4 linked regions of the Saccharomyces cerevisiae S288C genome follow. The gene in region 4 interacts genetically with the main gene of each other region. Each region holds a gene or a part of one and is shown on either strand. Other genes may lie near its edges.

Region 1 (6,938 bases), on a different chromosome or scaffold from region 4:
GATGTTACTTTCAGGTAACCAATCATCGAAATGAAATAGGAAACGGTGAAGACCGTATTCAATCAAAGTCCAAACAAAGACACCGACACAGAACAAGAAACATGCAAATAGCTGGTTCATGTTCTTCAAAGCAACACCCATGTGGTACACAACTACAGGCAACCAAGCAACTGGAACAACCCACCAAGCTGTTTTAGTTAATGGTTCCAAGAAATTACCAAATAGCGGGGCAGACCCCTTACCGTAATGTCTTGGTCTATGGATTTGGTCAACGTAAAAATCTTTCTTGAAATCACTACGCAGAATCTGCATCAGCAAAGGACGGTTCAGATCCAAAAATTTATGCTTTTTGTAGTCGTTACTGTAGTCCGTAGCAATACTTAGTTTCTCCTCGGCGGGCAACTCCTTTACAAAAGTAGTGGAGTCAAACTCAGTACCGTCAGCTGACAACTGCACTTCAACCTTATGGTTCTTGTTAGTCAACAATCTCGCTGCCTCTTCGTCAGTTGCCAAGTAACCAATCAAATATTCGTCCTCAAGGATTTCATACGCGGAGTCGCTGTGTTCATGCACATCTGAGTCTTTCATGATCTCAGTAATGTCCTTACCAGCATAGTCCAAGATGGACTCGTCACCACCAGGGTGTTCGCTCAAAAACCTGGTCACGTCATAAATCTTTCTGTTTTGATAAGTGACCCAGCAGTCATTGGCAGTATTGTGTTCTTGTACCGTCTTTTTTGAAAACAGTTCCAAAGTCTTGGAAGTATTAGTCGACATCTTCGTACTAGTTTTAGCTTACCACCGCTTTTAGTGCCTGCCACGATAACAATAGAAAAAAAAACTAATCAAAGACAATAGACACAATAGCTTCTACTATCTAATACCTCTGTTCTTATACGGTTCCAAATTGAAAAAAAAATTAACTGCGAAAAGATGTCACACGTCAGTAAATCCGCGCAAAACCCCGTTATATTTCCGACGTCGTGCGGTAGTTTCTGCGCGGAACGGCCCCGCGGAATAGGCACATTTTCTTCCGGCCGCAGAAAGCTCTCTTTATCAAAAGCAAGACTGTTTTCGGCTATTGTATTATGAGAAGTTTGGTGTTTGTCCAACTTTCCCTGTTGTCCTGGGAAATATTCTGTGGGGAACGTAGCTTTGTGAGCATGAAAGCTATCTTTTCGTGTATGTACGTGTGATGTGTATATGTCTATGTATGCAGCGCTGAAGCCTTTTCAGGGTTGTTGTTGTTGTTGTTGTTGTTGTTCTTTGTCGTGGGCTACCTGCTCCATGTACAGAGTGTGATTAACCAAGTTCAGATAAGCATACATGAAGTTACTTAGTAATACCTGCTCGCGCAGTCCCCTCTTCGAATTGCTCAATTTCAAGTGACTCAGCCGGTATATGGCCCTTTCGACGTTAATTGGTAGACGGTGGTCGAACATGATAACCGTAGACACTGTCAGCAAAGGCAGTGGGAACCCAAAGGCACTGTCTGTGAATTGAACCGGGGAGTTTGGTTTGTCAGGTTTTTTGACGTCTGCAAATGTAAGCTTTCTTGGGGGCAATATGGAGGTATGTTTCAATGGTGGTGCCGCTGGAGCCTGAGTTTGAGCTGAAGCTTCAACTGGGGCTGAAGTTTGGACTGGGGCTGAATTTTGGACTGGGGCTGAAGCTTGAACTGGGACTGAAGTTTGGACTTGTTCTTGAGCTGGAGCTTGTAGTTGAGCTTTTTGCTCATCGGTATTCTCCTTTTGGACGTGTTTGGAGTGTTGTTGGTTGGAAATTTCTGTCGTATTGCTCCTCTTCTTGTTCTTTTTCTTTGCCTCCTCTTCTTCTCTGTCTCTAGAGTTACTTTTGGTACTACTTACACTAACGGCCGGCTGTAGTTGGGGCAAGCTCTCGGAATCGCTTTCCTCTTTCTTTTCTATCTCTATTGCGCCTTCCAATTGTGGTTGTAATGGTATCTGCTGCTGCGGCTGAGAATCTTTAAGGGTTTTTACGCTTATTTTTTGGGAACCATGACGGCTGTGATGGTGACGGTGAGGACGAGGGCGATTGCGCAACACAATGGGTTCAACCGGCTCCCTTCCACTTTTGTTACCAAGCTTTTTGCTTTTCCTCACGCGAACGTGCACGGCATCGTTATTTGGTATTGATGGTGACGATGATGGTGACGACGAGGGTGATGATGATGCATCATGCTTGTGGTGTGGCTTTCTTCTGAATAGGTTCGCAAAAGTTTTCTCGATTTTCTGTCTTGTCTGTGATGTGGCGGTGGAAGTACTTGAATTGTTCATTTCTTCTTTATTTGACACCTCCGTCTTCTCACCGCCATTAAATAGAGAAATATAATGTTTTTTGGAATTGTCGAGCTCCATTCTTTGTGAATCCACGTTTTCTTCATTTTCATCGTCCCCTTGGTTTTCTTCGTTATCGTCTTCTCTGCTCATTTTATTGTTCAACCATGTCCATCCGTTTCTTCGACGATGTCGCTTCGTTTCTTTGTTGTCATCCGTTGCGCTTGGCTTTACCATGTCTGTTGTTCCCTCTCTTAACTCTAAGTCTTGTTCTACTGTGTCATTTCGAACCTTGACGGGTACCTCTTCGGCTTCTTTCTCTATTCCCATTTCTTGTTCCCACTCGCCACTAGACTGTCTGTAATGATTATAAATGTCTTGAAAATCACCAATTGACCCAGGCGAACTCATATTCTCAGAATCCTCATCTTGCTGTCTAAAAGGGGATTTGTGCGGATCTATTTCGACCTTTATTGTATTCTTGGTCAATTTTAGACGTTCTTCGTCGTCGTTTTTCATTTCATCCACACTTTGTTCTACTTCTTTTTCTTGCTCTTGTGACCTGATTCGATAAGTGTTGAATCTACTCCTTCTCAGTGACGATCGTTCAGGCCATGTCATGGTATTATTGATGGGCATATTGGAGGCAAATTCACCATCATCCAAAGTATTCGCTTGTGAAGTTGAAAAACCAATATCTCCTTCATCATAATGCCCTTCCGGTTGTGGTTGATCTTTTTTATCTGAATATGAACCAGCCATACTAAGAGTTCTGGCTAATGTAATGGCATCATTGTCGGTTAGTCCTGCACTATTTGAGATCTTTGTCAGTTCTTCAGTTATATCTCTTAACGACACTGGTCTCTCTTTTATTTTGGAGATTCTTTCTTCGACTTTATTTACTGTTTCAGAGGCACTGTCTCCCTTATTATCGTCATCTTCGTTATCATCAAACTCTGTATATGACCTCCGCAATGTTGAAGGCCTTCGTATTAGTGACGCGTTTCCATGCCTTGACAGCCCCCTGTTCAAGTTGATAGTGTTGTTCTCCTTATTTTCATATGATTGTGATTCTTTATCCTCCCCATTATCCTCAATATCGTTATTTTCATTGCTATTCCCATCATTATCTTCACCATTGTCGCTTAGTTGTATATTTTGTAAAGTATCTTGTACAAGCTCTAGGAAATTATCAGGCTTAACGTTAGGGTGTTGATTGGCGGGAACCCATAATAAGTTTTTCTTTAATACGTTAGCATTTAATTTCCTGGATGGAGAGTGAACACCTTTTTTTATACCTAAGTAGTTACCTTGTTTAGTCTTATTGGAGGATTCTATCCCTGAGTTACCCCTCCCATGCAAGTTCTCTAGCGGAGTTGGATCGCTATATCGTGTGTTATTAACGGTGGTTGTGTCACTTGGCATTGACGCAGAACTGGATGTCGTGCCAGACCATGATCGTCTCCCACTAGATTCCCCACCGAATTTTATATCTAATTCTGGATCAATAAGTAAATCCATTGACCCAATCGACAATCTTTTTAGGTTTTTTACGCTGCGGATTTCATTGTCAAGGGACTGTGCAGCAATCAAAACTTCAGACTTCCGTTTATCCCTTTGACTAGCGATCGCCTTATCGCTTGATGTAGTACGCAGCATGCTCTCGTTATCTCTATTGGACATTATAAAAGACAGCTAAATTCTCCTTTGAATTGAAAATATGTAACCCACAAAACAAACCAAAACTAACTAAGACCTTAAATTCTAGGAGACCAAATAAAAACCTTAAAAAAAGAAAAACGTCGAAACCTATTAGATGCCACCTTCTCTCTACTCTTAGATCTGACAACTTCAATACCACTGACACGAACGACTTGTTATTGAGTCCGTAATACAAAGTATAGGTACTTTATAGTCCTCCAAATTCTTTCACCAAAACACCAAAACTCGATTTTTTCACTCTTCCGTAACAAAAGCCCGGTCGCTCGATAGAATTCCATAATAGTAGTGAAAAAAGGTTATAGTACATAGGAAATTTTAAACGGTATACAAGTACGTAAAAAAGGCTAAAGGGTTATTCTATAACCAGGAGTTCCTACCAGAGTTTGTAAGGTATCCTTCAGGGATATTAATCCAAGGACCAGCAGTGCGAAGTAGCACTTATTCCAGATTGAGACCAATTTGGAAATGCGTCCAGCTTTCTTGTCTACTACTGTGAAATGTAAATTCAATCTTGAAGGACCAGGAAACCCCATGATATTGCAAAGGGCATGCAGGATTATGCAGCACCATAGGTTCCCGCCTGTTCTTACGAATACAAACTTGGTTAACCCTCCAAAAAGTGTTGTGTATAAAATTTGGAAGCATGTTGTCAGCAGAATGGAAACAGTTGTCATGGAGCCTTCCTGTAATTGCTCATAAGCATGGTGTGCGTGCGCAAGTCCAAAAAAAAGCGATGGTTGCCAAAATAACTGTTGATAGCTTAGTTGCGAATGCGGTATTAGGTTTAAGTACGTAGTCAAAAGCATTGACGTGTAAAATATTTCCTCAGTTATTGGTGCAAATATAAAATTCCTGAAACTCCAAATATTCAGGAATTCATGGTAAAAATCTTCAAGTATAGAGCTCTTTGGATTTAATAAATGATATAATACAAAATCTAAAACGGGTCCACAATATAAGGTCAATAACATCGCAACACATTTCGTTAAGTCTTTCACGAACTGGCTGAATTGCCAAGGGTTTGGCAATGCAGCGTAATAACCTGGGATAATACCTAAGCCTAAAAATGCGTCCTTGAAACTTATATGTGAAGTGGTACTAGATAATTGAGATTGTAAAAAAGGCACCAAAAAAAGGTTGGAAATTAGCATAATTGTAAGTTTTTGCATGCGAGATTTAATCGTTCGAGGATTATCTCGTTTAGACCCTTCTGGTTGTGAAGTTGCATATAGCGGTAGCACATAGGATATGGAGATGTATAGGAGCACTAGAAATGTTGAGAATTGTAGCATTGCTGTTCTGGTTCTCTCTATGACAGACAGTCAGTAGTCAAAGCATCAATTTATTTCGTTTTATTTTTCTTGACAAAGAAAATTCTATGTTTTGTTCCTGAAATCTCGATATTTTAGTAACTTAAAATAAAGGTAATAAAATCATCAAAGGTTTTCCATCCAGTGGTCCAAAAAAAAAAAAATACAGAAGCAACAAAAGAGCACCAGAAAATGCATTTTAAAAGAATTTTATTAATAATAGGGAATACAAAGGACGCGATAAATACCTTCATCTATAAGCAAACCATACATATATCTATATCTATAAGAAAAGTAACGAGAATTTTTTCTAATGTTTTTTTATTTTGTCACTTGCCTAACAGAAATAGGGATATCAATCTTCGCTACGCCAAGATGGTTTTCAAATTTAATCATTACTCGAACGCAATAAAACCTACAACATAGGCAGCTTTCAAAACTTGGAATTAAAGTTTCCTTAATGTCCTTATTAAATTCCAAGTTCACATTAATGTCTCGTTTGTACTGTAAAGGAGCAATCCTAACCCATTTATGAACAATCTGGTCTGTAAATTTCAGGGAAGTAGACGAGCTACCGCTAGGTAAAAATAAACTACTCTTGGATGAAGAAGTTACTGGCGTTAATGACGCTGAACTGGGCGACGATGAACTACCGTTACCTGTGTGCGATATTGAATCCTCAGATAATGCGTGCTTTGAGTGTTGTTTTAGGGTACTGACCTGTTTTTTAAAAATGTTGGATAAGTTGTGAACACTAACTTTCAAGTTGCAAATGCTTTCGATATCGTTAAACAGCTGTGAAGTAATAAAATCTGTAAATTTCAGTTCCTTTGGCCTACGGTCTCCCCTATTCATATTATATAACTCATTTAATTCAAGAAAATTCTTGTTGAACTTGGTTTCATATTCACAAATTTTTGAATGGAAATCATCGTACAAAGCTTTGATGCTTGTCAGCTTCTCTTTGTTCATCAACAGTTCAGAATTGAGTTTTATTGGGATAGAATTATCAGATTTAGCAGTTATACATATCAGTTCTGTGGTAATCGATTGAATTTCTGGCGGATCATGAGGTAAGCTATTATCGGATTCTATGCAAGTCAATTGTAAATCAAGTTTTTCCAATGGTTTTTTTACGTCTTCCGGAATCAACTCAGACAATCTCACCCAATTTTCTTGGTCGTGTTTACTCTTAGATTCAAAAACATTGGTCTTTCTCAATAATGAGGGAGCCCAATATGGTAGGCCCTGTTTTGGAATTTTCGCCTTTACTAGTATTAGCCCTGTCCTTTCTTTATTTCCCGTTAAATCATGATTATTCTTTCCCGCATTTGAGGAAGAGGACATTGAGCTGGAACTGCTGTTTAAAAAATGAGAGAAGTTCAGAAATGAGGAGGAATTGGATTTGTTTTTCAGTTTATATTTTAGTTCACTTTCAACAAAGGGACCCCAAGCTCTGGAAGTATCGGTATTATGACCACTATTTCCACTGCGGCCATTGTCCAAATCGTGGCCCAACTTCAAATCGTTATAGTTGACTAAATAGTTATTTCTGTTCTTAATGTGCAGTTGGTCCAATTTCCTCTGCAAAATTTCTTGGGAGTCTGAT
Region 2 (9,806 bases), on a different chromosome or scaffold from region 4:
CAGTATTTCTATGTTCCTTAAGAGATCAATAGAAGTAGAATATGTTTCGAAGGGGAGATAATTCAAATTTTAACGTACAAAATAGCTTCTTTCTTCCTTTGGAATACGAATATACCGTAAAAGATAATGTACCTTCAAAAAAAAAGAGTAGTATAGGTTTTTTTCCATTAGATGATTCTTTATTCACATCAAAAAACAATTCAGGGCACCATAAAAGCGAACAGCTCCATCGCGGTAATGCAGAAACTATCAGAAGCCAGTTTGGAACTGACGCAGTTCCGATAAGGATCGATGAGAAAGAAGGAAAGTGGGATAGAATTCAAGATGATAATTCTTCTAATTTAAACTACCAAATTAACAACAGTAATGACCCAGCTTCGAGTGGTAAATATACCCAGAGTATTGACTGTAACCATATAGCGGAGTCAAAATTTTCAAAAAAAAATGGAAACATTGATAGTCTTCGTTCAAACTCAGCAACTTTTATGCTAAATACTGCAGATGAAGACGTGATAGAATTTAGTTTTGACGATAATGTCCCTTATGCTGAGTTATTATCTGGTGCCACCCTTGAAAAATGTTCGTTGACTCTAAATGAAATAAACAAAAAACTATTCAATACGCTCTATGACTTTCGAGTAAGCAAAGATAATCCCGAAGAAAATTTGGTAGAACTAATACTTCCGAACTGCGTGGTGTTATTAAACTTTTTTGAAGACATTGAACTCTTGGCCGACTCTTCTGATGAGGCTTTCGAAAAATCTACTTTCATTAACACAATTGAGTTCATTGTGCACGATATTTGGGTCGAAACGTTGATAAAGAACATAAACTTATTACAAATGTTTGATGCAGATTTGAAATGCTACAATGACAAGTACATAATTTGCAAGCTAAAGGGTCAGTATCCCTCCACAAATATAGTGGACATAATGTGCCGTTTGAAGCATTTTTCCAATTCTATTTTGGAAACTTTCAAATTCGGAATCGAGCTAAAAGAACAAGATCAATGCCACAATAGAAACACTATTATCAACTACGTTCTTTTCAGTAGAGTATTTTCAACGATTGTTTTAGAGATTCAAAAATGCTTTATCTTGATCGTTAAGTTCATGTATTCTGTCAATTTTTTAGAAAAATTTTCCGATGAAGTATTTTTGTCATTTATTGAAATTCTCATAAAAATTGTCTTTGAGCACCAGATTCCGCAGTTATTTTTGGGAATTGATGAAATTATTCAACTCTGGTTAAAGAACAATGAAGGAAAACGGCAACAACTCTTGAGCGCTTGGTGCAACGGAACTGTTCAAGATATGAAGCAAAGCCAACAAAGAGAGTCCTCAAACGCAGAATCTGAATCAATCACTTCAAGTACAGAAGAGGACGAAGAAGGCCTCCAATTCAATAAATGGGATGTGATTGAACCATTTATTGATAATATCAAGGCTTTGAATCAATCAAAATCCCATATGTGACGCAGCGATAAAACCGCGGCATGCAAACATCTACACAATTAGCAAGGGCAATCCATATTTTGTCTTTTCGCGCCCTGGAAAGGCCTAAGTAATGTCGTAAACGCATTCTATCTGTACTTCAACTCTCCTCTGTGCATTGGTTTGTGCAAATCACATTTTACGATACTGCCAGATTTATGCAAAAAGAGAAAACCAAGGGACCAGAACAAAGCAAAATTACGATAAACTTCGAATTCCTTCGTGCTTGACTAAGACAAAGGGATGGACGTAGCGATTTTTAGCGGGCCAAGAACTGGTTCCGAAAAAGCACAGGTACACCGAACCCTCAGCTAAGGAGGGACAGCACCGATGCGGAAGGACAAACTTTCTTTTTGCCTATCACAGTATCTTATCGAGCTAACTATTTTCGACACACATGAAAAAGCAGAAATATTAACGAAAAAGAAAAGAAAGACCATGTCATGTACGGGCAATCAGAATCTGTAACAAGCGCCATTTTTTTTTCTGTATCGGGCCCTCCTTACTGCTCTCCTTCCGTGTAACGCGTTATGAAACTCTAATCCTACTATCGGCGACTCTCTCGAAATTTTTCTTAACGCGTCCTTGTACTGCGTCTAACGCTTTTGCCACTTGGATTTCTATTATAGGAAATAGTCTCACTTACTGGGCGACGAATTTTCGCGTTTTGATGAAGCACAGGAAGAATTTCTTTTTTTTTTGGCTTCTTCTGGTTCCGTTTTTTACGCGCACAAATCTAAAAAAAGAAATAATTATAACCTAGTCTCGAAAATTTTCATCGATCCATTCGTTCCTTTTTTTCGATTTTTTCAGATCAAAATTCTTGTTTCTTTCTTTGTCTTAGTTTATATTAAAAGATATTTTGATTTTACTCCTGAACTATTTATTCTTTCTAAGAAGGCCAGAACACTACAGCTGTTTTAACCGACTACGAAGTTCTCCATTCTCGAACACTAGCCTTCATTTACCAAACAGGAACTAGCGTATATCATTAGTCCTTATTCGAAAAGAGATTGGTAGATATTTATTGTAGTTTGTGAGAAGGAGAAAATACTGTCATTGGACTGATAGTTAGAGGACATTAACCTCTCTTACGTTCGCTCAAAAAAATTAAAATAAGCAAGTAGCTGAAATCAAGTCTTTCATACAACGGTCAGACCATGAACACTGATCAACAACCTTATCAGGGCCAAACGGACTATACCCAGGGACCAGGTAACGGGCAAAGTCAGGAACAAGACTATGACCAATATGGCCAGCCTTTGTATCCTTCACAAGCTGATGGTTACTACGATCCAAATGTCGCTGCTGGTACTGAAGCTGATATGTATGGTCAACAACCACCAAACGAGTCTTACGACCAAGACTACACAAACGGTGAATACTATGGTCAACCGCCAAATATGGCTGCTCAAGACGGTGAAAACTTCTCGGATTTTAGCAGTTACGGCCCTCCTGGAACACCTGGATATGATAGCTATGGTGGTCAGTATACCGCTTCTCAAATGAGTTATGGAGAACCAAATTCGTCGGGTACCTCGACTCCAATTTACGGTAATTATGACCCAAATGCTATCGCTATGGCTTTGCCAAATGAACCTTATCCCGCTTGGACTGCTGACTCTCAATCTCCCGTTTCGATCGAGCAAATCGAAGATATCTTTATTGATTTGACCAACAGACTCGGGTTCCAAAGAGACTCCATGAGAAATATGTTTGATCATTTTATGGTTCTCTTGGACTCTAGGTCCTCGAGAATGTCTCCTGATCAAGCTTTACTATCTTTACATGCCGACTACATTGGTGGCGATACTGCTAACTATAAAAAATGGTATTTTGCTGCTCAGTTAGATATGGATGATGAAATTGGTTTTAGAAATATGAGTCTTGGAAAACTCTCAAGGAAGGCAAGAAAAGCTAAGAAGAAAAACAAGAAAGCAATGGAAGAGGCCAATCCCGAAGACACTGAAGAAACTTTAAACAAAATTGAAGGCGACAACTCCCTAGAGGCTGCTGATTTTAGATGGAAGGCCAAGATGAACCAGTTGTCTCCCCTGGAAAGAGTTCGTCATATCGCCTTATATCTGTTATGTTGGGGTGAAGCTAATCAAGTCAGATTCACTGCTGAATGTTTATGTTTTATCTACAAGTGTGCTCTTGACTACTTGGATTCCCCTCTTTGCCAACAACGCCAAGAACCTATGCCAGAAGGTGATTTCTTGAATAGAGTCATTACGCCAATTTATCATTTCATCAGAAATCAAGTTTATGAAATTGTTGATGGTCGTTTTGTCAAGCGTGAAAGAGATCATAACAAAATTGTCGGTTATGATGATTTAAACCAATTGTTCTGGTATCCAGAAGGTATTGCAAAGATTGTTCTTGAAGATGGAACAAAATTGATAGAACTCCCATTGGAAGAACGTTATTTAAGATTAGGCGATGTCGTCTGGGATGATGTATTCTTCAAAACATATAAAGAGACCCGTACTTGGTTACATTTGGTCACCAACTTCAACCGTATTTGGGTTATGCATATCTCCATTTTTTGGATGTACTTTGCATATAATTCACCAACATTTTACACTCATAACTATCAACAATTGGTCGACAACCAACCTTTGGCTGCTTACAAGTGGGCATCTTGCGCATTAGGTGGTACTGTCGCAAGTTTGATTCAAATTGTCGCTACTTTGTGTGAATGGTCATTCGTTCCAAGAAAATGGGCTGGTGCTCAACATCTATCTCGTAGATTCTGGTTTTTATGCATCATCTTTGGTATTAATTTGGGTCCTATTATTTTTGTTTTTGCTTACGACAAAGATACAGTCTACTCCACTGCTGCACACGTTGTTGCTGCTGTTATGTTCTTTGTTGCGGTTGCTACCATCATATTCTTCTCCATTATGCCATTGGGGGGGTTGTTTACGTCATATATGAAAAAATCTACAAGGCGTTATGTTGCATCTCAAACATTCACTGCTGCATTTGCCCCTCTACATGGGTTAGATAGATGGATGTCCTATTTAGTTTGGGTTACTGTTTTTGCTGCCAAATATTCAGAATCGTACTACTTTTTAGTTTTATCTTTGAGAGATCCAATTAGAATTTTGTCCACCACTGCAATGAGGTGTACAGGTGAATACTGGTGGGGTGCGGTACTTTGTAAAGTGCAACCCAAGATTGTCTTAGGTTTGGTTATCGCTACCGACTTCATTCTTTTCTTCTTGGATACCTACTTATGGTACATTATTGTGAATACCATTTTCTCTGTTGGGAAATCTTTCTATTTAGGTATTTCTATCTTAACACCATGGAGAAATATCTTCACAAGATTGCCAAAAAGAATATACTCCAAGATTTTGGCTACTACTGATATGGAAATTAAATACAAACCAAAGGTTTTGATTTCTCAAGTATGGAATGCCATCATTATTTCAATGTACAGAGAACATCTCTTAGCCATCGACCATGTACAAAAATTACTATATCATCAAGTTCCATCTGAAATCGAAGGTAAAAGAACTTTGAGAGCTCCTACCTTCTTTGTTTCTCAAGATGACAATAATTTTGAGACTGAATTTTTCCCTAGGGATTCAGAGGCTGAGCGTCGTATTTCTTTCTTTGCTCAATCTTTGTCTACTCCAATTCCCGAACCACTTCCAGTTGATAACATGCCAACGTTCACAGTATTGACTCCTCACTACGCGGAAAGAATTCTGCTGTCATTAAGAGAAATTATTCGTGAAGATGACCAATTTTCTAGAGTTACTCTTTTAGAATATCTAAAACAATTACATCCCGTTGAATGGGAATGTTTTGTTAAGGATACTAAGATTTTGGCTGAAGAAACCGCTGCCTATGAAGGAAATGAAAATGAAGCTGAAAAGGAAGATGCTTTGAAATCTCAAATCGATGATTTGCCATTTTATTGTATTGGTTTTAAATCTGCTGCTCCAGAATATACACTTCGTACGAGAATTTGGGCTTCTTTGAGGTCGCAGACTCTATATCGTACCATTTCAGGGTTCATGAATTATTCAAGAGCTATCAAATTACTGTATCGTGTGGAAAATCCTGAAATTGTTCAAATGTTTGGTGGTAATGCTGAAGGCTTAGAAAGAGAGCTAGAAAAGATGGCAAGAAGAAAGTTTAAATTTTTGGTCTCTATGCAGAGATTGGCTAAATTCAAACCACATGAACTGGAAAATGCTGAGTTTTTGTTGAGAGCTTACCCAGACTTACAAATTGCCTACTTGGATGAAGAGCCACCTTTGACTGAAGGTGAGGAGCCAAGAATCTATTCCGCTTTGATTGATGGACATTGTGAAATTCTAGATAATGGTCGTAGACGTCCCAAGTTTAGAGTTCAATTATCTGGTAACCCAATTCTTGGTGACGGTAAATCTGATAACCAAAACCATGCTTTGATTTTTTACAGAGGTGAATACATTCAATTAATTGATGCCAACCAAGATAACTACTTGGAAGAATGTCTGAAGATTAGATCTGTATTGGCTGAATTTGAGGAATTGAACGTTGAACAAGTTAATCCATATGCTCCCGGTTTAAGGTATGAGGAGCAAACAACTAATCATCCTGTTGCTATTGTTGGTGCCAGAGAATACATTTTCTCTGAAAACTCTGGTGTGCTGGGTGATGTGGCCGCTGGTAAAGAACAAACTTTTGGTACATTATTTGCGCGTACTTTATCTCAAATTGGTGGTAAATTGCATTATGGTCATCCGGATTTCATTAATGCTACGTTTATGACCACTAGAGGTGGTGTTTCCAAAGCACAAAAGGGTTTGCATTTAAACGAAGATATTTATGCTGGTATGAATGCTATGCTTCGTGGTGGTCGTATCAAGCATTGTGAGTATTATCAATGTGGTAAAGGTAGAGATTTGGGTTTCGGTACAATTCTAAATTTCACTACTAAGATTGGTGCTGGTATGGGTGAACAAATGTTATCTCGTGAATATTATTATCTGGGTACCCAATTACCAGTGGACCGTTTCCTAACATTCTATTATGCCCATCCTGGTTTCCATTTGAACAACTTGTTCATTCAATTATCTTTGCAAATGTTTATGTTGACTTTGGTGAATTTATCTTCCTTGGCCCATGAATCTATTATGTGTATTTACGATAGGAACAAACCAAAAACAGATGTTTTGGTTCCAATTGGGTGTTACAACTTCCAACCTGCGGTTGATTGGGTGAGACGTTATACATTGTCTATTTTCATTGTTTTCTGGATTGCCTTCGTTCCTATTGTTGTTCAAGAACTAATTGAACGTGGTCTATGGAAAGCCACCCAAAGATTTTTCTGCCACCTATTATCATTATCCCCTATGTTCGAAGTGTTTGCGGGCCAAATCTACTCTTCTGCGTTATTAAGTGATTTAGCAATTGGTGGTGCTCGTTATATATCCACCGGTCGTGGTTTTGCAACTTCTCGTATACCATTTTCAATTTTGTATTCAAGATTTGCAGGATCTGCTATCTACATGGGTGCAAGATCAATGTTAATGTTGCTGTTCGGTACTGTCGCACATTGGCAAGCTCCACTACTGTGGTTTTGGGCCTCTCTATCTTCATTAATTTTTGCGCCTTTCGTTTTCAATCCACATCAGTTTGCTTGGGAAGATTTCTTTTTGGATTACAGGGATTATATCAGATGGTTATCAAGAGGTAATAATCAATATCATAGAAACTCGTGGATTGGTTACGTGAGGATGTCTAGGGCACGTATTACTGGGTTTAAACGTAAACTGGTTGGCGATGAATCTGAGAAAGCTGCTGGTGACGCAAGCAGGGCTCATAGAACCAATTTGATCATGGCTGAAATCATACCCTGTGCAATTTATGCAGCTGGTTGTTTTATTGCCTTCACGTTTATTAATGCTCAAACCGGTGTCAAGACTACTGATGATGATAGGGTGAATTCTGTTTTACGTATCATCATTTGTACCTTGGCGCCAATCGCCGTTAACCTCGGTGTTCTATTCTTCTGTATGGGTATGTCATGCTGCTCTGGTCCCTTATTTGGTATGTGTTGTAAGAAGACAGGTTCTGTAATGGCTGGAATTGCCCACGGTGTTGCTGTTATTGTCCACATTGCCTTTTTCATTGTCATGTGGGTTTTGGAGAGCTTCAACTTTGTTAGAATGTTAATCGGAGTCGTTACTTGTATCCAATGTCAAAGACTCATTTTTCATTGCATGACAGCGTTAATGTTGACTCGTGAATTTAAAAACGATCATGCCAATACAGCCTTCTGGACTGGTAAGTGGTATGGTAAAGGTATGGGTTACATGGCTTGGACCCAGCCAAGTAGAGAATTAACCGCCAAGGTAATTGAGCTTTCAGAATTTGCAGCTGATTTTGTTCTAGGTCATGTGATTTTAATCTGTCAACTGCCACTCATTATAATCCCAAAAATAGATAAATTCCACTCGATTATGCTATTCTGGCTAAAGCCCTCTCGTCAAATTCGTCCCCCAATTTACTCTCTGAAGCAAACTCGTTTGCGTAAGCGTATGGTCAAGAAGTACTGCTCTTTGTACTTTTTAGTATTGGCTATTTTTGCAGGATGCATTATTGGTCCTGCTGTAGCCTCTGCTAAGATCCACAAACACATTGGAGATTCATTGGATGGCGTTGTTCACAATCTATTCCAACCAATAAATACAACCAATAATGACACTGGTTCCCAAATGTCAACTTATCAAAGTCACTACTATACTCATACGCCATCATTAAAGACCTGGTCAACTATAAAATAATACAATCAATACTTGCTTGAACGCTTGATTTTACTGATATTCTATCCAAAAGCAAGTAGACCAGAAACTCTCAAGATGTTGCAAATACCGTTCGATGTTTTTGGTTTAGATTGTTTTAATGTTGATGCTTTTTTACTTATTTTTGGAAGCGTCTTTTTAATTTAGTTTTATATTATAGGTATATGAATGTGTTTATGCCAATAAGGGTTTTTTTGTACAGTTATGTGATTATAAACAGTCTTTTGTCTAGTTTTTTTCACCAGTATCGGCCTCTATTTATAAAAAACGGAGCAGCTTTCGGTGTCAGTAATTCTGAAAAAATTTGTGTCACTCTGATTGTAAATGAATTAATTTAGCTAGATAGTTGCGAGCCCCAACGAGAAGATTGTCAGACAAAGACAACATTCAACAACCTACATCCGTTACTATTCGTTAACTCGAGGTACTTGAAACTTTTCAGTTAAGTATGAACAAGAAACAAAATTTTTACGCAGCCATTATTGTGGCTATTTTTCTTTGTTTGCAATTGTCTCATGGCTCTTCAGGTGTCAGCTTTGAAAAAACCCCTGCTATTAAAATTGTAGGAAACAAATTCTTTGACTCTGAGAGTGGGGAACAGTTCTTCATCAAGGGCATTGCTTACCAATTGCAGAGAAGTGAAGAGGAGCTTAGCAATGCAAATGGGGCTTTTGAGACAAGTTATATTGATGCCTTAGCGGACCCAAAAATATGCTTAAGAGATATTCCATTTTTGAAAATGCTAGGAGTGAACACACTGCGTGTTTATGCAATAGATCCGACAAAATCACATGATATATGTATGGAAGCTCTATCTGCCGAAGGAATGTACGTCCTATTAGATCTTTCAGAGCCTGATATTTCAATAAATAGAGAAAATCCATCTTGGGATGTACATATTTTTGAAAGGTACAAATCTGTAATTGATGCAATGTCATCCTTTCCAAATTTGTTGGGGTATTTTGCAGGGAATGAAGTGACAAATGACCATACAAATACCTTTGCATCACCCTTCGTGAAGGCCGCAATCCGAGATGCCAAGGAGTATATTTCGCATTCTAATCATAGAAAAATCCCTGTCGGCTATTCAACTAATGACGATGCTATGACAAGAGACAATTTAGCAAGGTACTTCGTTTGCGGAGACGTTAAAGCTGATTTCTATGGGATAAATATGTACGAATGGTGTGGGTATTCCACGTATGGTACTAGTGGATATAGGGAAAGAACGAAAGAATTTGAAGGTTATCCAATTCCCGTGTTTTTTTCGGAATTCGGCTGCAATCTTGTAAGACCAAGGCCATTCACTGAAGTTAGTGCCCTTTATGGCAATAAAATGTCCTCTGTTTGGTCTGGTGGCCTTGCATACATGTATTTTGAAGAAGAAAATGAATACGGAGTTGTTAAGATAAATGATAATGATGGAGTGGATATTCTTCCTGATTTCAAGAATTTGAAGAAAGAATTTGCAAAGGCAGATCCTAAAGGCATTACAGAGGAAGAA
Region 3 (6,857 bases), on a different chromosome or scaffold from region 4:
TTGTTTTCAGTAGATTAATCGCCTTGTCCATTTCTTCCGTATATTTTTGTCGACCTCCCTTTTCCTTGTTTCCAATGTCCTCTACAGTCGAATTTGTGTCATATATTTCATCGACCATCTCTAAAGCACTATGCAGGTCAGAACGTAGCTTGTCTGGTGTTTCTCTTCCACTAGGGGCATTTGTGAGAGCAGCGCCAAAGTGATAAATCGATCGCTGTTGATAGCTTTTAGCGGCGCTACCTATTCTGCAAGGCTCAACAGATAGACGTCTGGACAGGAATCTACAGTTGTAGAACCCCATTATCAAAACTATAAAAGTATCAGGTAGCGTTTGGCTCTTTTTTGTGCTCTCTCAAGTGCCCTGTTTATATTATATTTTTACATATTTGTTTCTTTATTAACCAACGGCATTGACGGAAACGCGCTTTATTATGGACTACTTTTTTTTCACTGTTTCCTGTTTTTTGACGTGATATACTCAAAGATGAGCGATTGACGATCTGAGAATTCTATTTGGGAACTCTTCTCTGCTTTGAAGACATTTATTTCCCAGCTGCCTTTGAAGTAGTTTCACGAGCGCTAGTGAAGTTTTTTCATAAATATATATTCCCAATCATCGCTAGGAATTATGCGCGTTTTTACTTTGATTGCGATTTTGTTTAGTTCATCTTTGTTAACACATGCATTCTCCTCTAATTATGCTCCTGTAGGCATATCATTACCTGCTTTTACCAAAGAATGTCTTTACTATGATTTATCCTCTGATAAAGATGTCCTTGTGGTCAGTTACCAAGTTTTGACAGGTGGGAATTTCGAGATAGACTTCGATATTACCGCCCCTGATGGCTCTGTTATCGTCACTGAAAGACAAAAGAAGCATTCTGATTTTCTACTGAAGTCGTTTGGTATAGGTAAGTACACTTTCTGTTTGAGTAATAACTACGGCACTTCCCCAAAGAAAGTTGAAATCACCCTCGAAAAGGAAAAGGAAATTGTTTCTTCCCATGAAAGCAAAGAGGACATAATCGCAAACAACGCCATCGAGGAAATTGATAGGAACCTGAATAAGATCACCAAAACAATGGATTATTTAAGGGCTAGAGAATGGAGAAACATGTATACTGTGAGTTCTACTGAGTCAAGATTAACATGGCTCTCATTACTAATTATGGGGGTAATGGTTGGTATCAGTATAGTGCAGGCATTAATTATTCAGTTCTTTTTTACCAGTCGCCAAAAAAACTACGTATAGGTTGCTTTTCAAGCTCTTAAAATTGTTGGATCAGCTGTGCTAAGGGGAAGGCACTTTTTTGTATCATGATCCTATTTTTTTTGTTATTTAATTATTTATGACATACCTTTATACTTTAGTTTTCAAAAATCCAATAATAGATAGGCAAGGTTTACGGAAAAGAGTGGAGTGCAAAATAAATAGAGGAAAGGCAGAAGGAAGAAGGAAAGCGAAAAGAAAAACGAAGATATATTTGGAGAAAAGTATAGAAATAATAAAATGAAGACACATCGATTGAAGTATGCTCAAATGATGAGAAAAAGAGACCTTTATCTCAGGCCACAAACAACCATTGTCCAAGTGGCTTATCTTTGCTATAGTTTTGTTCGAATATTCGGGGATTCTATCTTTGGTTTCTTCAACAAGTTGACCCCATTTACCAGTTCTTTTTTGCTCTTCATATACTGCTGCTCTTTTGAAATGTGGCATGCCCTAAACTTCCTCACTTCTTCGAGCTTGTAATGAATTGCTGTTTCACTGTATCTCGCTGTCACAATCATTTTCGTTCTCTTCATTTAATGTGTTATTCTCACTTGCTGTGTTGAAACTGTTTCTTAATTCTGGGTTTTTGATTGTGTATTGGTCCTTATCATTGTTAATCCTTAGATTTTTTACATATTCTTCAAGTTTGCTCCAATTTTCTTCACGTTGCACCTTACGCTGTTGAGTTTCTTTTACACTTGATAAGTACAATGCATTACAGTTTTCGTACAATACTGGGTTTGTTTCCAGAAAAATTTTCAATGCCTTGAATGCCATAGCATGAATTGCCCTATTCCACGAACCAGAATTGATTGCTTGCTCAACAAGCATGTAAGGGTCTGAAATGCTATCTTCGCCATTTGCTGTATCTAGCTCTAACTGAGAAGTTAATTCATATAATGCAGGAAATATAATGGGTAGGATGACTTCGGCATTTTCGATACATAAGTTTAAGAAATATTCATTATTCCAATAACTTAAAACCTTTTCCGCCACTTGGAAATGTGGAGAAGAAATACACTTAGCTAATTGAACAAATAACGGAACTTCTACTTTAATAAATTCCAGCGGTTCGATCACTTCAAAAATATCCTCGATTTCATTTAGAAACATTATCTCTTTTGTGGAATTTATTTTTGGCCAATAACGCAGTAAGCCCATAACTACCTCTTCGGTTAATAAAGGATCTTTTTCGAGAAATTGAACGATACAGTAAGCCAACTGAGGGTGGTATAATGATAAACAACGGACCTTGTGTAATGGTATCAATATCCTCACCAAGAAAACCTTGTGCTCTTCCTTTAATGGAAGTGCAAATCCATTAATTATGGAACCCAAAATTTCTAACAATTCTGCCACACCGTTAAACTTCTCAGTCTCATAAATAAATTGCAAAAAAATATTATTCATCGACCGACGAATAAAGCTTCTTAATGATAAGAACTTCCCATATATTCTATGCAGTGTCGTTTTCAAACAGTCTCTTTCTCTGATATCTTCGCTATCAAATAATTCCAGTAACTTTAAAATAAAGTCCTGATCAATATATTGTTTAGCAATCTGATGATTGAAATCAGGACTTTCCACAAACCTTAAAAAGAATTCGTAAACAGCTTGCATATGAGGCCAGGCTAGTTCGTTAACAGGTTCATCTTCATCTGGGTCATAAATGTCACCAACTGGATTTACTGGTGGTGGAATAGGTCTAAACAGATTGATTTTGAACATGTTCACCACATGAGCGTACATCTCATTCGTGTAAGTGAACCTATTTGTTACAAGGAATTCTATTAGCTCATCTAAGGTGCTTCTTTTAATCTCTTTACCTTGAATGTCAAAACTTGGATCATTAAAGTCAAACATAGTGTTACACTGGTCAACTTTGGCAATGAACAAAGGGATTCTTTCTTCAGGAGAAACTTCATTAAAATTTGGCAATTTCGTTAATGGCGTATATCTAGATGGCTCGAATCTAGATGAAGAATGACGTTGGGGAGTCTTAATTAACTCTAAATCTGTGTCAGGGTTAAGTTTTGTGGGTGTTGGTAGTCTCTCAAATGAGTGTGATGATCTCGGAATGTCGATACTTTGTGAGGAGGCGTGGTTTGCATCCTGAGTATTACTAGTATTAATATTCATATTGTTATTATTACTATTACCATTTTCTACATCAGAAGAAACTGCTGTACCTGAAGCATTTGAAATGGGAGATGATGGAACAGCGGATACTGCCCCCAGCAAAGTAGGATGTGCATGATCTTCACCAGAAGTGCTTTTGTCGTCCTTAGTAACAGTGAGTACTGGAGTGGGGTTCATTATAGCGGCAGATGATGAAGAAGATCCTTGCTTTTGAGATTGTGATGGCTGTTGCGATTGTTTGGACTGTTCTTGTCCTTTTCTTGAACTTGTTTTCTTTGTGGAGCTTGAACCGGAGCGACTGACACTTGAACTTCTACTGCTACTGCTGCTGGAAGAAGGGGTCGTCGCTGTTTTTGTTTTTGATGTAGAGCTACTATGATGCTTCCCTTGCGAGGGAACACTACCAGATTGCTTGCCCTTCTCAGTTGTAGACTTTGATCCGGTACTGCTGGCAGAACTGTGAGTAGTCCCGTGGGAAGAGCTACTAGCCGAAGCGGGCTTCTTTGATGTGGATGAGGTAGTGGAACTTTTTTCTTTTTCCTTCTCTTTGTCCTTCTTTTTACTGCTTGAAGAAGAAGAAGACCCGGTGGTCTTCTTTATTAATCTTTGCTTGAAACCACGCATCATATTGAAAGTGGATGTTCGAAAATAGCACGTGCCTATTGATCTTAATAAGTAGAACTTTTATACAAAATAAAAAAGCCAGTTAAAGACGGTATTGAGGTGAACAGGTATATGGAGAAGGGTTTATATTTTTATCTAACAAAAAAAGGAAAAAAAAGCAAAATCGAGGGGGGAAGGAAATGAAACCCAAAATACTTACGGCGACGATGGTTTATCCTTGAAATGAAGAGTTTTCCAATGAAGAAACGAGACGTATTGACATGCCTACCAATTGAAGTGGAAAACAAAGCGTAGTTTCACATACTCTTTGATAATCAATTGTCTGATACTTTTTTTTTTCCTTTCTCGCAGCCGGGATAGGGGGTTGTGACCCGGCAAAAAATGTTGGTCTAAGTTTTATTGTTGCTATATGCTCCATACATACAATAAATGTCTATAAAATTTTTAGAAGAAAATCAGGCGTGAAAGATGGTGTCTGCATCTTTGTGGTAGAGCATCAAGTAGGCCGTGAATCCCTTCCCCTGCGGATCGGGTTCTCCTTTGGAGTTCACTTCTCCAACCCCGAACTGAAACACCAAATAGGTTTTGAAACCGAAATATTCGTACACAGATCTTGCGTGCTCCGAAATAGCCTCGAGAGCAAGGGCGCAATTGGCCTTGTCTGCTTTGGTTTTATATTTTTCGAGTATTTTTCTGACTGAACCTCTAATTTCGGGATGGCTAGGATCTTTTCCGATGGCATAAAGGTAGTAATAGTCCATTCCCAGAGGCATGACTTCGTGCTTCCTCACAGTCAAGTCGTGAAAAAAAAATCTTATTGAAAGACTCGTCGTCAGATAGTGTAGCAGGCAAGTGGCACCCAGGGCGGCTCCATATTGCGACTGCATCGAAATCATTTGCCTCAGCAATTTCACCATCCAAGTCATGGTAGCACGTCGTGTAGTAATGTATCATTGCATTTATTCTTGCCCTTGAAACTTTTTCAGTGATTGGGATATGGAAGAACTTTTTCATCAAGTAGTCATTTGCGTATGACTTTTCGAATGCCTTAAACAAAGTTTTCGAAGCCTTCTCTACATCGCTTGTCAAGTTTACCGCCAAAGAGGATTCTTCATTGATCGATGATGCTACCATTATCAAAACTATTGATTTGTTTTCAACGTTCTGATTAGTATTTTTGTCACTGCCTTTTTCTATTGTTTCTTTTTTTGCATTTCTTATAGTAACATAAAAAACACAGGAAAAAAAACGTCGTTTATTATATCAGGAGTAAAGGATTTCTGCCCAAAATGTCAGGAAAATTACGATATAAAACGTACTATAAGATAACAAGCGGCTGAATAATTTCTGAGGTCAGAACCATAAGGGTACTGAAATACTATGTGCTAGATTTTTTATTTATTTTCTTTTTCTGATTGATTATCGTTTGGTTAAAATCAGTATGATATTATATATGACTTGCTTTATAATATATCAAACCGACATAAAAAATTATCCTACTCAAAAAAGATCATGGTTGTCCCCGCGTTTCACTTCTGTTATACCATGCAAATTTTTATATCAAATGAGTAATTCTTTCATTTCTTTCGGGACCCTTTACGAAGTAGTTGTTATATCTCCACTGGCAAGGCCACGAACTGACAAAAAAGGCATGATATAAATTGTGAGAAATTGTGAGTTAATTTAATAATTATGCGACGAGATGATAGAAAGGTAAAGACGACTTTTTGAGCCGGATCTGTTTACGTCAGTAAATTCTCGCGCCCCAAGACGTTATGAGGCATAAAATTTATTGCGTTCAGTTTTCTAAAGAGCTCACTATCGGTGATAGAAATCTTTCTTTTTTATTATCTTCTTGTCAGTAGTAATGTATAAGCACCAATATTGAAATGTCCAATTTTTTCGGCTCTTCCCAAGAACTTCAAGAGAGCAGTAGTATGGAAGAAAGTATTGTGAATGATACACAAAACGGTTTAAATACTCCAATATTTCAAAATGAAAGAAATTGAAAACCGATTTTGCCATTAATAATGATTGCTTATTATCCTTTAGTGAAGAAGTTTGTATTGAACTTCAAAGCTGATTGAAAAATCATTATATTTGAACACGTCGTGAGAAGACATGTGTCCAAGTGCATAGTTATTTAAGGCTTCTACGCTGCTTTGTCCTTTTATTACACATTATAATGAGTCTTCAAGATATTTGACTCAGTATGTATAAGAGAATGCTTCCATTGAGATAGTAAGATGATACGTATTGTTACAATACTTGATAATAAGATGCGTTAAAATATTAGTTAAAATGTTAGCTAAAGTTGTACAATTATTCAAGTCGGTGGAACAATAACACTCATTTTATATTTAATTTGTAGGCTGGTTAAATTTAATAACACTTCTTAGGGCTCTATTTTTATGAACAGGACATCATATTATGTAGGCAATAACTTCCGAACTTCGTAATTGATTTAATTGATAATACGACCTATCGTGAATATGCTAAAAGTTCTTTTCGAGGATATAGAGATTCTCGAAGAGAGAGAGATATTCTAAATAACAATATACATATATATATATATATATATATATATATATATTCCTTTCTTGCTTCTTTTTTGTACATTATGTAACTATATTTCTTTCTCATTCCAAATATTCAAATGTACAGGTATTTAATACCGCCTCAATTGATTTAGCGGTATTTTATTTTCTAACAGCTTAGTTATAATACTAAATATACAAAATATATTAGAAGCTCTTTCTCAAGGATATAGGAACCTGCCAAGGAAACCCATATTTCCACATAATGTTACTATTATTATTTC
Region 4 (6,702 bases):
CCTGTCTCTCCTTTGGAGTGTAATCGTTTGAGTTACTAACAAATGGATCATAACGTGACACGGGGGAAATATCGTCACTAACAAAACGGACTCTTTTGCCGATGTTAATGCTAGATCCTATAATGTTGTAAAAGGCGGGAGGGGTGACACGTCTCCAAAAATCGGGCCACAATATCAGGCCAGTATCGTTGAAGGATGTAGTGTTAAAAGCAAGGTCAAGGTTTTTCACCGCATAGTTATCTGCGTCCAAGAAGATAATACGCTTGAAACTGGAAATTATCAACCCAAAGACTTTCAACTGGAAGTGCGTGAGTTTTAAATCGCTTAATGGCTTTGAAGGAACGATATCTGAGAAATAAATGCACTTACCATTGAATTTCGGCAACCAGTTCTTACAAAAATCATCCTCGCCTTCGTCCTGAGGCGGAATGATGACTTCAATAGGCAATGTAGTACCCGTGTCCCTCAACTTTTTGATCATCGTATACGCGAGCACAGAATACTTTCCACCTCCAATGGTGACAATGCCCTCAGAACCTGAGAAAAGTGCCTCTCTTTGTGGGATGGAAAAATTCAGTTTCCCTGATAAGGTGTCTGTAAACTTACTGTGCACTTCTCGTAGGCTTTCTTGTACTGTTTTATTCAAATTATAGCATTTACTCAAGCTCTCGTAACTTAAGTCACTATCGTGTCCAGAGTCGTGTGCAGCAACGTTATTTGCAAAGCTACACCCTTCCGCCCCATGCAACTTACTCAAGTCCGGAGACGAATCTGCCGGCTTGTTTTCCACGATGGCTTGTACCAGTGTTGTGTAAAAATTGTTTTTAAGGTTCGACCTTGTTAGAACCGGCAATCTAAGCTTTTTACCGTATAACCAACTAGAAGACACATCATTATGCACAGAACAAAAAAATAAAATTAGCACTACTGCGCTCACGATGACCTGCAGGATTTTTCTCTTCTTTAACCTAATCAGCATTGTAACCTGAACTATTAGTATATCCTCTTGTTGTGCTAGGAACCAGTCGTAAAATAAAAATTTCCAATAACCGTGAAAATGCTTTTTTCATATCTGCGTATATATAAAACACTTTAAAGCCGTGTTGATCCTTTAGTTGTTACACTTTTTTTTCCCCGCCGATGAGAAAGTGAAAAAAAAAATCCGCAAGAACGGGGAAAAAGATAAAAGAAGGCACTTATCTCTCTGAACTCTGCACCGAAACATGCATCTGTCGTCTATTCCGACTTGGCAACCAAAAGAAGCCCAAGAGCTAGTTGCACTTAAATCAGTAGAATCGTGAGATTGTTTATTATCTTACTTCTGTTAGAGTGCTTCGCTTTCCATGCATCAAACTATGGATTTGTGCTGATCTTGCAACCATCGTCCTCTAAGGAAAGAAATGTGGCACCTTTAAATAGGTTCCACCTCACAGATGCCAACATGTGGGAGATAGGGGGCTATTCGCAATTTATTAACGTCTCTAGTACTGGTAAGCCTTTCTAACATTCTTGTGGTCACGTGATGTGTATGTTTCTTTTTTTTATTCCTCCGGGTGATAACGACGCGAAAAATATTTTTTCATTTTTCTTTTAACCATCACAATTTGCGACGCGACGCGAAAAAAATGCAGAGAAGTAAAAGAATGCTGGATAAGAAATCAACAACACAGTTGAACATTGGCGTGCCCCTGTGTATTAAGTAAAGGTTGTCCAAGAGGCTCTTTTTTGTATGTATGCGTGTGTTAACTATCCTGCACATCATCTTGCGCAGTTAGTCCAATAAAAAAAGGATTACTACTGAACAGGTCTTACTATTTTTGATTGCGTAGTGCTGGGGAAAAGTAAACACACACAGGCGCACACGAGAACAGATGAGTTCTTTGGACGAGGATGAAGAGGACTTCGAAATGCTGGACACGGAGAACCTCCAGTTTATGGGGAAGAAGATGTTTGGCAAACAGGCCGGCGAAGACGAGAGTGATGATTTTGCTATAGGGGGTAGCACCCCGACCAATAAACTGAAATTTTATCCATATTCGAACAACAAATTGACAAGAAGTACGGGGACCTTGAACCTGTCATTAAGTAATACAGCTTTGTCAGAGGCTAACTCCAAATTTCTTGGGAAAATTGAAGAAGAGGAAGAAGAGGAGGAAGAAGGCAAGGATGAGGAAAGCGTGGATTCTCGTATTAAAAGGTGGTCTCCGTTCCATGAAAATGAAAGTGTTACTACTCCTATTACAAAAAGATCTGCGGAAAAAACGAACAGTCCTATTTCTCTCAAACAATGGAACCAGCGATGGTTTCCGAAAAATGATGCTCGCACTGAAAATACATCCTCATCCTCTTCATATAGCGTCGCTAAACCTAACCAATCAGCCTTTACGTCTTCGGGCCTCGTATCTAAAATGTCTATGGACACTTCGTTATACCCTGCGAAATTGAGGATACCAGAAACACCAGTGAAAAAATCACCCTTAGTGGAGGGAAGAGACCATAAGCATGTCCACCTTTCGAGTTCGAAAAATGCATCGTCTTCTCTAAGTGTTTCCCCTTTAAATTTTGTTGAAGACAATAATTTACAAGAAGACCTTTTATTTTCAGATTCTCCGTCTTCGAAAGCTTTACCTTCCATCCATGTACCAACCATAGACTCATCCCCACTGAGCGAGGCAAAATATCATGCACATGATCGTCACAATAACCAGACAAACATCCTGTCTCCCACTAATAGCTTGGTTACCAACAGCTCTCCACAAACATTGCATTCTAACAAGTTCAAAAAAATCAAAAGAGCAAGGAATTCGGTTATTTTGAAAAATAGAGAGCTAACAAACAGTTTACAACAATTCAAAGATGATTTATACGGCACGGACGAGAATTTCCCACCTCCAATCATAATATCAAGTCATCATTCAACTAGAAAGAACCCTCAACCTTATCAATTTCGTGGACGCTATGACAATGACACTGACGAAGAGATCTCCACTCCAACAAGACGAAAATCTATTATTGGGGCAACATCTCAAACACATAGAGAAAGCAGACCATTGTCACTCTCCTCTGCCATCGTGACAAACACAACAAGTGCAGAGACGCATTCCATATCTTCCACCGATTCTTCGCCGTTAAATTCCAAAAGGCGTCTAATCTCTTCAAATAAGTTATCAGCAAATCCAGATTCCCATCTTTTCGAAAAATTTACGAATGTGCATTCCATTGGTAAAGGCCAGTTTTCCACGGTCTACCAGGTTACGTTTGCCCAAACAAACAAAAAGTATGCAATCAAAGCCATTAAACCAAACAAATATAATTCCTTGAAACGCATATTACTGGAAATTAAAATACTAAACGAGGTAACAAACCAAATTACAATGGATCAAGAAGGGAAGGAATACATCATCGATTACATCAGTTCCTGGAAGTTTCAAAATTCATACTATATTATGACAGAATTGTGCGAAAATGGTAATTTGGATGGATTTTTACAAGAGCAAGTTATCGCAAAGAAAAAAAGGTTGGAAGATTGGAGAATTTGGAAAATCATCGTGGAATTAAGCCTGGCTTTACGATTCATCCATGATTCTTGTCACATTGTGCATCTGGACTTGAAACCCGCAAACGTCATGATCACATTTGAAGGTAACCTAAAACTAGGTGACTTTGGAATGGCTACTCATTTACCGTTGGAGGATAAAAGTTTTGAAAATGAAGGTGACAGAGAATATATTGCACCAGAAATCATTTCTGATTGTACGTACGATTACAAGGCAGATATTTTTTCCCTGGGTCTGATGATTGTTGAAATTGCAGCGAACGTTGTGTTACCTGACAATGGCAACGCATGGCATAAGTTGAGATCGGGTGATTTATCGGATGCAGGAAGATTAAGTTCCACAGATATTCATTCTGAATCATTATTTTCAGACATTACGAAAGTAGATACAAATGATTTATTTGATTTTGAAAGAGACAATATCAGTGGTAATAGTAACAACGCTGGCACCTCCACTGTTCATAACAATAGTAATATCAACAACCCTAATATGAATAATGGCAACGATAATAATAATGTCAATACTGCCGCTACCAAGAATCGTCTTATTTTGCATAAAAGTTCTAAAATTCCCGCATGGGTACCGAAATTTCTTATTGATGGTGAATCACTTGAGAGAATAGTACGATGGATGATAGAGCCCAATTATGAGAGAAGGCCCACGGCAAATCAAATCTTACAAACTGAGGAATGCCTGTATGTAGAAATGACACGCAATGCAGGTGCTATTATCCAGGAAGACGACTTTGGACCTAAGCCAAAATTTTTTATATGATAAATGGAACAAAAAACCTTGTTTTATTTACATACTTTTTTCCCACACGTGCTTATGGGCCGCATTGTATAAATAATCCAATAACGAAAAAGAGTGTAATTGCAGTCCGGTAGTAATACCATGTAAAACCTTAGATGAGTTTATTTTAAGTACAGCCGCTTCAAGCATTTTTATTTTTATTTTACAGATGTAGCAGATAACAACCGTTAAATTATATTATATATATATATATATATATATCAAATACGACGTATTACATATATATTGAGAATAAGGGAAGGATGGAAGACAAATGACAAAAAGTTTGAAGCATAAATATGTTCTTCGCTTAGATGTTCATCTTGGTTCTTCTCCAGTTTCTTCTCTTAGCGTTGTAACGGATAGTGTTGTTGGTTCTCAATCTGATCCATTGTGGCAATGGTCTGTTTTGCTTCTTAGCCTTAGCCATTTTTTGCTTGATTCTGAAAGACTTTTGAGCCTAATTAAAAGGGAAACATATCGTGCACATACGAAGTGTACAATTGTAAAAAATGTTAGTAACAATGTTCAAACTCATCAATGTGATGCATTCACGGATCCAAGGCAATACCACCTGACATAAACCACGCTGGACCACCAAAAGTTCTCAGAATAAGCAGTTTATGACCATATTTTAATCTGCGTAGTGGCGACTTTAGATTTCTGTTTCGGATAAGAAAAATTTTAGTATGGTTAACACTCCTAATCCTTTCCCTATATTTTACACATTGCTTCTATTTCAAATCCAAATTGTAGGTGGTAAGGTCATTTAGATGGATGTGGTTTATAATTTGCTATTGATCAGTTCAGCATCTAACTGGGATTTATAATATCTTTCTAACATACAGCCATGTTGATCTATCTGTGTTTATTTGCTTGTCTTTTTCGAATTTTCAGTATAATATGAATGTACCAAAAATTGTAGAAAGTATATTAAGTAGAAGTTTTAAAGTATCTATCAAGGCGAAGAATAATTCTCGGTTCTCGACAGCCCAAAAGCCGAATTGCGTTAGTTAGCCCACGCGCGAGCGTAAACGCAAGGACCATTGAGCTTGGAACAGAAGGAGTCGCTTCGGCGTCCCCGCCAAGGCGTACTGTTTGCCTCGGCCTGCCGCGTGGTGGTGGTAGTTTGAGCCGGAGCCTAAAACGCCCATAAGTTTTTTGAAAATCAAGCTAAAAAATGAAAAAAAAAAAAAGTTAAATTGGTACTGTGCGCCCATACATCACATACTTAAAAGTGTGTAATTCCTCTATACATCCACACCTCACTATTTGAAAAACTCAAATATTGAGGACGCGCGATTACCAGCGGCATGTTTACTCGCTGGAAGATGTGAAATAATTCTTGAATATGGGTTTGCAGTTAGTCAATTTCAATCTAAATAATCTTAATCGACTATTCAATTCTTAAATTGTAAGGTTTTTTAATGGCCTTTCAGTTCTAGTATTTTTTATAAAACAAGACCAACATACATATCCAAGATGACCAGATCTTCCGTTTTAGCTGATGCTTTGAATGCCATTAACAACGCTGAAAAGACCGGTAAGCGTCAAGTTTTAATCAGACCATCCTCCAAGGTCATTATCAAGTTTTTGCAAGTTATGCAAAAGCACGGTTACATTGGTGAATTTGAATACATCGATGACCACAGATCTGGTAAGATTGTTGTTCAATTGAACGGTAGATTGAACAAGTGTGGTGTTATTTCCCCAAGATTCAACGTTAAGATTGGTGACATTGAAAAATGGACTGCCAACTTGTTGCCAGCCAGACAATTCGGTTACGTCATCTTGACCACCTCTGCTGGTATCATGGACCATGAAGAAGCCAGAAGAAAGCACGTTTCTGGTAAGATTTTGGGTTTCGTTTACTAAGCTACTTGTTACAACAACCTTTTCGGTAGCTTTATATACTATAATAAACACAAGATAGCCTCATAACTTTACTCATTTCTTATTATACATTTTTTTAGTTTTCCTGTTAAATACTAATATATTTGTACTTTAAAACTGTTCAAAAGATTAGACAGAAATGAATTTATCTGCCGCATTTCTGCATGCACGAAGTCGAATATGCAAATGTTTATATTGGCTTTATTAATTAAACAAACTATATTTATGTGAGAAGGTAAAGCCGTATTTCCATGCGTTAATAGAGTAAAAAAAAAAGAAATCATAATCTTCTACCTCTTCTACCACCCTTCTTTCTGGTGGAGTCTGATGGGACTGGAGTAACGTCTTCGATACGGCCAATCCTCAAACCAGATCTGGCCAAAGCTCTCAAAGCGGCTTGACCACCTGGTCCTGGGGTCTTGGTTCTGGTACCACCAGTAGCTCTGATCTTAACGTGAAC

Evidence for each region.
Region 1: of SWE1 (region 4) and ZDS1, changing one suppresses a phenotype caused by changing the other (phenotypic suppression), as found in Saccharomyces cerevisiae (3 studies listed by BioGRID, with this or other methods).
Region 2: mutations in SWE1 (region 4) and FKS1 together harm fitness more than expected from each alone (negative genetic interaction), as found in Saccharomyces cerevisiae (4 studies listed by BioGRID, with this or other methods).
Region 3: of SWE1 (region 4) and RTS1, changing one suppresses a phenotype caused by changing the other (phenotypic suppression), as found in Saccharomyces cerevisiae (3 studies listed by BioGRID, with this or other methods).

Annotation. Positions count from the first base shown.
Region 1 is NC_001145.3:810,001-816,938, forward strand, and holds ZDS1 (Zds1p), read right to left. Parts: upstream 3,981-6,938; coding exon 1,233-3,980; downstream 1-1,232. Other genes in the region: SCS7 (fatty acid alpha-hydroxylase), read right to left, coding at 1-777; YMR272W-B (uncharacterized protein), read left to right, coding at 1,089-1,196; RCE1 (CAAX prenyl protease), read right to left, coding at 4,364-5,311; ubiquitin-ubiquitin ligase BUL1, read right to left, coding at 5,651-6,938. UniProt on the Saccharomyces cerevisiae protein: Has a role in establishing cell polarity. Together with cAMP-dependent protein kinase regulatory subunit BCY1, provides a negative feedback control on the cell wall integrity-signaling pathway by acting as a negative regulator of MAP kinase SLT2/MPK1.
Region 2 is NC_001144.5:807,344-817,149, forward strand, and holds FKS1 (1,3-beta-D-glucan synthase), read left to right. Parts: upstream 1-2,653; coding exon 2,654-8,284; downstream 8,285-9,806. Other genes in the region: SPO77 (Spo77p), read left to right, coding at 42-1,475; YLR342W-A (uncharacterized protein), read left to right, coding at 8,467-8,640; GAS2 (1,3-beta-glucanosyltransferase), read left to right, coding at 8,751-9,806. UniProt on the Saccharomyces cerevisiae protein: Alternate catalytic subunit of the 1,3-beta-glucan synthase (GS) complex. Synthesizes 1,3-beta-glucan, a major structural component of the yeast cell wall. Involved in cell wall synthesis, maintenance and remodeling.
Region 3 is NC_001147.6:354,856-361,712, reverse strand, and holds RTS1 (protein phosphatase 2A regulatory subunit RTS1), read right to left. Parts: upstream 4,040-6,857; coding exon 1,766-4,039; downstream 1-1,765. Other genes in the region: PET127 (Pet127p), read right to left, coding at 1-301; ERP4 (Erp4p), read left to right, coding at 629-1,252; YOR015W (uncharacterized protein), read right to left, coding at 1,361-1,720; YOR012W (uncharacterized protein), read right to left, coding at 4,757-5,170; YOR011W-A (uncharacterized protein), read right to left, coding at 5,855-6,061. UniProt on the Saccharomyces cerevisiae protein: The B regulatory subunit might modulate substrate selectivity and catalytic activity, and might also direct the localization of the catalytic enzyme to a particular subcellular compartment. Multicopy suppressor of ROX3 and HSP60.
Region 4 is NC_001142.9:74,432-81,133, reverse strand, and holds SWE1 (tyrosine protein kinase SWE1), read left to right. Parts: upstream 1-1,871; coding exon 1,872-4,331; downstream 4,332-6,702. Other genes in the region: alpha-1,2-mannosyltransferase MNN5, read right to left, coding at 1-979; 60S ribosomal protein eL39 RPL39, read right to left, coding at 4,660-4,809, 5,196-5,201; 40S ribosomal protein uS8 RPS22A, read left to right, coding at 5,832-6,224; 40S ribosomal protein uS11 RPS14B, read right to left, coding at 6,523-6,702. UniProt on the Saccharomyces cerevisiae protein: Protein kinase that acts as a negative regulator of entry into mitosis (G2 to M transition) by phosphorylating and inhibiting the mitosis-promoting cyclin B-bound CDC28 at 'Tyr-19'.